2 linked regions of the Oryzias latipes genome follow. The protein of the gene in region 1 purifies or fractionates together with the protein of each later gene. This does not show direct contact. Links are inferred from orthologs where the notes say so. Each region holds a gene or a part of one and is shown on either strand. Other genes may lie near its edges.

Region 1 (4,484 bases):
GAATGGCAGTGATCTCATCATTAAATTCTGAAAGAAAAGAAAAGAAACCTAAAAGCTTATATGAACTGCTTTCTCTGACACAGTCAAACTGGACAAACCCAGTTGGATGAGTTGGTGGTTGATACATTTCATACATTGAAATCAAATTCTCTTTGAAAAAGCATAAAGTCTTTTGGGGTTTTTTTTTGTCCTATGAATACCTCTTTTTAAAGAAAAAGAAGATTGAACATTGCATTTAATTCACCAGCATTTCTATAGAGATCATCATCAGTGAGTATAAATGGGAGAATGAGACTGTAAAGCGCTTTGGGCCTTAAAGCAAGGTAGTAAACAGTGAAACATGATGGTGGCAGTATCATGCTTTAGGTTATTTTTTCAGCATCAGGGACATGTACAGAGGTATCTTGAGAGAAAACCTCTTCCAGAGTGATCAGGACCTCAGACAGAAGGTTCACCGTCCAATAAAACAATGACCCACAGCGCTCCACTAAGATAACAAAGGAGTGACTTCAGAACAAATCTGTGACTGTTCTAGACTGGTCCAGCCAGATCCCTGATCTATACCCAATTGAACATGTATGGAGAGACCTAAAAATGGCTGAACACCAACATTCACCATGTAATATGCAAGAAAGAAAGGCAGAGGATCCCCAAATCCAGGTGTGATAAACTTGTTGCATAATTTCCAAGAAGACTCATGGCTGTAGCAGCTAAAACGGAAGCTTCTACTCAATACTTAGACCATGTGACTTTTCAGTTTTTCTTTCTTGTTAATAGGCAGGAATTTCTACCTCTCTGATTTTTTCTATCAAGATAGTTCACTCAGTTTGGAGCCCCTAAAGTAATATAGAAGAAAAAAGATAGAACTGGAGAAATTCTGGTGAGCACCAGAAAGTAGGTCATGGACCAAAAAAACTCGTGTGCAGTACACTAGTTGATCAAAGCAAGTGAATCTCCAAAGCTGAAACAAACCCCATGACTTTAGAACTGGCTTTAGGCGATAACACAAAGGTGACGCCAGACAAGAAAAGCTGCAAGGTAACATAAAACTCAATAACTCATGTAATGATGACAGGGTGTGTCTTTATTGTGTAAATTCTGGGCTCCTTGTTCTGAACTGTGACGTCGTTCGTGGAAATTCTGAGGTCCTTGAACTCCTCACGGATGTCACTGCAGAACAGACAACAGGTGGGCACCTGGCATCAATCGGTTTTAATGAGAGACCAGGACGAGAAAGGAGGATAGAGAGGAGACCAGGACAGGGTTACCCGCCTCCCGGATCCATACTGCACCAGGAGAGGAGTGCGCGCAGTCTGAACCGGGAGAGGATGAAGAGGGGAATGACCCGTCCCCCGGAGAGAATGCGACACAGCGTCTGCTGTAATAAAGTCCTGGCAGGTTGGGCGGAACCAAGAGTGAGCCTCATTGCAGGACAACAACTGAGGATGCAGGGGGCGCCGCTGGATGACAACCGTCGTGGACAATGGCGACTGAATTGACTTAATTTCGTTGGAACCAGAAGCAAGGCATTTTTTTATGGGTGATGTCACACTCCCTCAGTCCAGTTCTCTATTATAGTCAATGGTCTAAAGGCGGAAAAGTCCTCACAGCACACTTTCTACACTGTTCTCAGACATGAACATTTTCATTCTTGTTTAAACTCTTAAAGTTCAAACCTTCCCAGAAAAATAAGTTAAGGACTATAAAATGAAAACAAAGATCTGATTACAATCATAGATTTATCCTCACAGTCAAACTGCATGTATAGAGAGACGGTACAGAGGAGATTGATTGATATGGACAACAGCCAATCAGAATGCAGTCAATGCCCTGCATAAAGACAAAGAAGGAAAAACTGCACTGAAAAAAATGTGAAAACGAAACGAAAAGTGAAGCGCAATATAGCGAGGGGACATGACAACTAACTCTGAAAAGTGGTCCTGTGCACAAATGACCACTTACTTTCTTCTGAGCAACAGATACTTTTTCATGCGCCTGAGAAACCAGTACTCTTTGCTTTCACTTGGATGTCCCTTCACGGGCTCCGTAAGTCAGCGCACATGACTGAGAATTGAAATGAACTTTCCTAATTTTGGCAAAAGGCTACAATGATGCAAAGAGTGAAAAATGTAACACTGTGACCACTGAATACTTTCCGTAGCCACTGTATGTTGAGCCAGTCCACCACTGAATCCCTCACAGGGAACGAACGCTTTAATGGAAAGTGAACATGAGTTTGGAATGACAGCAGCGAAGAAAATGGAACGCCAAACTGGCCGCATCCCATCGTATCTTCCTGTCAAACCTCTGCTGGCCAGGACCAGATTTTCTGTTTGGGAAAATCCCAGAACTATAGAAAGAAAGCAACATCCTTCTTCAAATGTCACAAATAGTGTCAATAAATCAATAAAGGTATAAATATCATATCTACCTTTGACAAATCAGTGTCCGATCTGCTCCAATTTACGTCACAGCAGAAATGAACAGGCACTTTTTTTACCTTCTTGTTTAAATTTACTTTAAGAGGTACATTTTTTTTGCCAACTCTATTTATTTTTCATTGGAGATGAAAGCAAATGTGCAAAACAATGTTTTTAGTGGCTTTAGACCAGTAGACCACAGGACTGAAAAACACATCCACAAAGTGTAAACTAACAGAGTGTTCTCATTTCCTAAATGTTTAAGACAATCCTAATTTTTGTGAAGACTACAGTTTCTGAAGACCCTGATAAAGCCTGATTGGTTTCTTGTTTCAACCTTAAAACGTACACATTATGTCTCCCTTATGTTGGCGTGATTACTGGAAACACGACCATAACCTTCACATAACGTTGCTTTCACAGAGATGTAGAGCAGCCCACTGATCAAACTAAAGAACCGCTTGGCGATGGAATGCAGAAGCACTGGAAAAGACGTCGCTGGAACTCTGTTGGGTGGAAAAACCCTCGAGTTCCAGCAGAACTTCTTACCTGATCGCACTGCATGCCAAAGAAATGTTAGCAGACCCCTGCAGCTAACATGATCAGTTGTTTCAGCGCAGAGAATACTGACGAACCAAATTATGCCCGACGTTTGTTGCGGCTTCTAGGTTGTTCAGAAGCAAAAGCCCTCTGTATCTGGCTTCATCGTTTCTTCCCCCACTGCTCCTGCCTGTCTTGACATGTCAGTTCTTAAGAAACAGTATCGTGCGCACATTTAATATGCAGACAGAAACCTCTACCCACGGCATTTACCTGGAGCTGCAATGGTCATTCTCTTCGCCTGAACAGAAATCAGTTCAGCATTTTTGCACCAACACCATTTCATGTTAAATGAAAAACTCTGTACAGCGTTTTCAACTCAGACTGTCACAAACTGAGAACGAAAAGACTTCAGTAGAAAAAGCATCATGTAGTTTATGAAGAAAGTGAGGGAAAATGTTTGTAAAAGAAAAAAAGCATCTGGGTTTTCCCTGAAGGATTAGCTTACTTGAAGTCTTCATGTTCGTTCTTTTCTTCTTTATGTTTATCAGCTGCTAAATATTCATGTCTCATGGAATTGTTAGGAAAGCCCATACATTTTCCAGGTGAACCTACATGTGTTGGACCTGAAGCAGGTGTGTTGCAACGCTACGCCGCACCAAACACTTCAAAATCAGGGTTTTATTTGCAGCGCCAGCTATTTAGTTATGTTTTGGCAAGGGATGATTCCTGCAGAAAAATTCCTGCTGTAGGCCGTGACTAACAGGAGTAACAACAGCAGGGATTATGTAGCCTGGAGCATAGGGCAGACTGCTGTGGGAGGGGCCTGGTGTTGCTCAACCTGCTTTGGTAAAAACTCACAAATAGCTGCCTGAGGGATGAAAAAATACAGTGGATGACTGGTTCAAAGCACCTCGCCCTTCTGCACAGCAGGGAGAATCAAACCATCAGAAGCACACAAAGCTGGTTTTCAGTCCAATAAAAACTGGATTAGCTATCCTGCCTTCAGCCTGCTGCTCCTGCTCTGTTTGCCCTTCGTGTAGCTGCTTTAAAGCCCCTAGTGGTGGTTTCTGTGCGAGAAAAGGTTCCTATTTACAGGACAAGTTTTAAGGTTTGAAGGATCAAAACAAAGAGAAATGATTATGTGGCGTTCATGAGATGCTCCACAGAGCAGGCAGTGTTTATGAGCTTTCCTAACCTACACTTACAAAGGCAGCAGAGGCCTGAGCTTAAGCCTGCTCACACACTTCTTTGACGGGCGTGGATGAGTGTGTGGTGCGGAGCTGCTATACTGTCAGCTCTAAGCACACCCATGATCCACAAAGATGTCTTCTTCACCCTGTAATCCATCCCTGAACAAAGCAGAAGTTACCCGCAGTTCTTCGGTGATGCTCTGTGTCCTCAGCAGAGCTGTGAAAACAAAGCCCCCCCCCGGACCACTCTCAGTAATCCAAGGAAGCTGCAGCTGAGCCGTCACTGTGACTCATGGGTTGTTGTTTGTGAGTTCACTGTACTGAGACCATA
Region 2 (3,816 bases), on another chromosome or scaffold:
TCGGGGGGGGGGGGGGGGTTGGGGGGGTTGCGCTCCGTGAAACTAGTCCCCGCCACTGCGTCACAGAAAATGACACAGCTTTTTTGATTTTCCCTAGAAATGGCATCATAATAATTAAAAGACCTCTGGGAAGGCTTTAAAACACATAAAAAGATGATTGGAGTGGATTTTTAATATTAAAGAACATCAAGGCCCAATTCGTTTTAATCTGTCAAATATTGTGTAAACAAACTTTTTATGAAACACTGACTCATTTCTATTTGTTTTTGGCTTAAGTTTGCCTCCTGGCGTACCAGATATCCCCACTGCAGCCTACCAGCCCATCTCAATCCATGGAACTCTGCCTCGGCGAAAGAGAGGAGCTGGGAACAGCAGCACCCATGGGAGCTTCACATGGGAGCCTAAAGCCAATCAGGCCTCACTTTGCAGGAACCCATCACTGCCTCCAGGACACATGCATCAACCCACGACATCCTCACTGGCCCCAGACATCACTGAGGACTTTAATAGTTACAGGTACTTGTTGAAATACAAACTAAATGTTTTGTTGGACCTGTTTAATCTTTTAGTTTGTTTTGAATAAAATTGGACTTACTGTGAATATAAAGTTAAGTGACGGCCATAAAGATAAAAACTGCTCATCTTGAGAGTGGGGCATGACAGAGACATGGAGGGTGGGTTAGCATGAAGAGAGAGAAGGTTGTAAATATAGCCCAGAGGGGGTGTGGCAGTCAGCTCGACTTCAGAGAAAGCTCACACAGCTCATCTCTCATCACGTCCTCCCATCTATCTGTCAAGAGTGTAGAGTTACAAAAGGCTGGATTAGATATAGCCAGCTTTGTGTGCGTTTGTGTGTGTTCATGTGTGTGTGCGCGTGGCCCTGAGCAGTTGGGTTTCCTTTGTAGGTGCGGGTGTGTCGGGGTTGATCACAGATTACTGTGAACTCTTTGTCTGTTCCCTTTATCTGCGCGCCTCCACACTGGATCTGTTTCATACGCGGCTGACATAATTTGTTCGGGTCAGATTCAGCCTCTGCAGGTGGCTGGATACTGAGCTGCTTTGTAATCCCACTGAATGATGCTGAATGAACCAAACGCTTCACGCTGAAATGACACTCTTTGAGAAAAATAAAAAACGCAAACATGTACATTTGCTTTTTTTTTTTTTGAAAGAAATGTTTGCTTTTATATTTGCAAGAAAATTCCAAAACTCATGTAGAATTCCTCAGAGTTCTCATGTGAGCTTCCTATAAAGAGAAAATGAAGGTGTGGAATTGCTGCTCAGTCGGTCTTTATGACCCATGCTGTCAGCCGACCTGTGGCCCCTGACCTTACGTTGCACCAGATTCCGATTGGACAGTTTGTCTTTCTCTTGACCTCAGTGGACACATCAAGACCACCAAGAGAGTAGGAGGAAGAGGAGGCAGCTTTGGAGGAGGACAGCTGGGAGGCAGAGTAAAAGGAAAAGAGTGCATGTAATACAGAGATGGAGAAAAATGTTTTATTTTATTATTCATAAAACCTGCTGTTTGCTTTCTAGGCTTAGCTGATAGTTGCAAATATAATTTTCCATTTCCGTGTGTTTGTGGGGGAATGCATGTTTATGTGACCAATTCTGAAACTGATTTTGAACAGAATTACTGGTTCATTATTCTATTTTAATCCCAATTCAACAAAAGATTAAATTATGTTTTGCAATTTCCAATATTAATTTGTTAAAAATACTTTGACTTTTTTAGTGACTCAAAGTATCCAAAAGTGCATAAGTCATTTTAAAATTCTGAGGTCTACTTTTAAAAAAACCAATGGCAAAGCAATTTTTTTTAACCTAAAGTTCAAAATAATGGCTTAAAATATAATCTAAGGACTTTAAAACATTTGGTATTGCATTTTGTCAAGGAAGGTTGATCCAATATTTTTTTTAAGTCAGCTTGATATATAAAGAATCTCCGGTAACCCAAAATGGCATGGAAAGTGCAAATCTAGTATTTATGCCAAAATGAATAGGAAAAAAAACACATTTTCTGTGTAATTCATACTTTGAGGATATATTTATGACATAAATAAAGCATTGATATTTAAGATTTTTCATAAAAATTCTTCAAAGGTGCTGTAAATCATCAGCCTGGTCACATGTTAAATGGAAGCACACTGACCTCTATGGGCCGTTGACAGATCCTGCATGCTGCCACTTTCCTGACCTCCCTTCTCGTCCCCATCCCCTCCTTCTTTCTCTGTCTTCCCAAACTCTGGTTGTGGTCATGCTGAGTATTGTGTGGTGGAGCACAAAGAGCGAAAATAGCCAGAAAAAGACTGTGGCAAGTGCGTCTTTTCTTTTTCTCCTTTTTTTTTCTTTTCCATTGCCTCAGCCCTTTCTCAGTGTGCCCCTGACTGTGCAGCAGGTTGGTTTTGTGGTCACAGAGGCAGAAGAACTCGCTGTCCAATGCTGTTTTAGAAATGTGGGCAGAAAAGACAAATTTAGTCGTACCCAGGAATGCCTGGGCCATCTCACTACAATTTCCCTTGTCAGTGTTCACCAAAAGAATTTAATTAACTTTAACTTTAATCAAGAACTAGGAACAATATTAGAAATCATGGCTCTCTGAATGTCAGAGGGACTTTTGAATGAAAGAAAAACAGGAAATTTCCCTCCTTTTTGGCTCATTTGACCCACAGGGCTTTCATAGGGTGTTGTCAGTCTGTGGTGGTTTTTCATTGCACTGTTATACTGCACAGCCAGGACACTATTAGGAAAGGTTTCAGGCCTTTAGAAAAACAAAGCCAACCTTCAGTTGCCTTAGCAGCAAAACAAAATACAGCAATTATGTTAATTTTTAAAATTAGATTTTTTTTTTTGCATTTCCCTATTTGGAACCTTTCTATTTTCTTCAGCTGCTAATTTATGCCAAATAATTAACAAAAATGTACAATAACTGAAATTCTGAGTGTAAAAAAATGTAACAAAGGACTTTAAATATCAGTGGAAAGAACATTTCTATTCAACAATTTCTGCAATCCCAGAAAACTTCATTATCCTGCCAAATTCTCAACTAAACCAAAAATTACACTTATCTCTAGAAATAGTTGATAATGAATTGTTGGAGAACCTTGGAGTCCTCAGCGGTCCATATGTAAAATAAAGTCAGCAACATCATGAGGTGAAGGGGCCATAAAGCACTTTAAAACCACTAAACAAACCCAAAAAATCAATACCACAACCCACAGGGAGCTGCTGAATTGATTTAAAAACTTTTTTTTAGCACTCTAGCCACTGAATCCTAAATTGTTTATGTAAAGTGCTATTTTTTCAAAAATGAAAAAGCACAACACCGTAATAATGTAATGCCATGTTGATGTTTTCATTATCTAATAGGTAACATAAATGTTTTCACAGATTTCTTTAGATATGAAAATTTGCGGATGAGCTCCAGCAGCCCTGCCAGTGTTTTGGAATAACACGCGTGTCTGTGTGCAAAGGACAGCCTAGTAAGCTGTTTATGGTGATACTTCTGCCTAAAATATATGGGCTTATGCACTGCACCAGCTTAAATCTCAGTTTGCTAAAGACTGTAGTTGATCTTGAGGGTGACAGAAAGGCCTCTGCTTTTGATAAGTGCCTAGAGTGAATGGAGGCCTCTGTTCTGTTACACAACCAAATCCGACTCATTATTTTGAGCCATATTAACATGGAGAAGAAGGCTTAGAGTGCTAAACATATTTGCTATGGTAAGTAATGGACTGTGCTAATATTCCCATTGGAATTCCATTGCAGTATTAAAAGATTTAAACTACCAACCCTGTTAATGTAGCAAGGGAT

Evidence for each region.
Region 2: the proteins of bcar1 (region 1) and bcar3 purify together in Homo sapiens (co-immunoprecipitation; 4 studies listed by BioGRID and IntAct, counting the BioPlex papers as one, with this or other methods). This does not show direct contact. The link is inferred for Oryzias latipes from reciprocal best matches to the Homo sapiens genes BCAR1 and BCAR3.

The regions. Positions count from the first base shown.
Region 1 is NC_019864.2:4,911,898-4,916,381, reverse strand, and holds the start of bcar1 (breast cancer anti-estrogen resistance protein 1), read right to left. Parts: upstream 3,098-4,484; 5' UTR 2,985-3,097; coding exon 2,970-2,984; intron 1-2,969. UniProt on the Homo sapiens protein: Docking protein which plays a central coordinating role for tyrosine kinase-based signaling related to cell adhesion. Implicated in induction of cell migration and cell branching. Involved in the BCAR3-mediated inhibition of TGFB signaling.
Region 2 is NC_019862.2:18,877,929-18,881,744, forward strand, and holds part of bcar3 (breast cancer anti-estrogen resistance protein 3), read left to right. Parts: intron 1-276; coding exon 277-516; intron 517-778; exon of another isoform or gene 779-1,442; intron 1,443-2,155; exon of another isoform or gene 2,156-3,816. UniProt on the Homo sapiens protein: Acts as an adapter protein downstream of several growth factor receptors to promote cell proliferation, migration, and redistribution of actin fibers.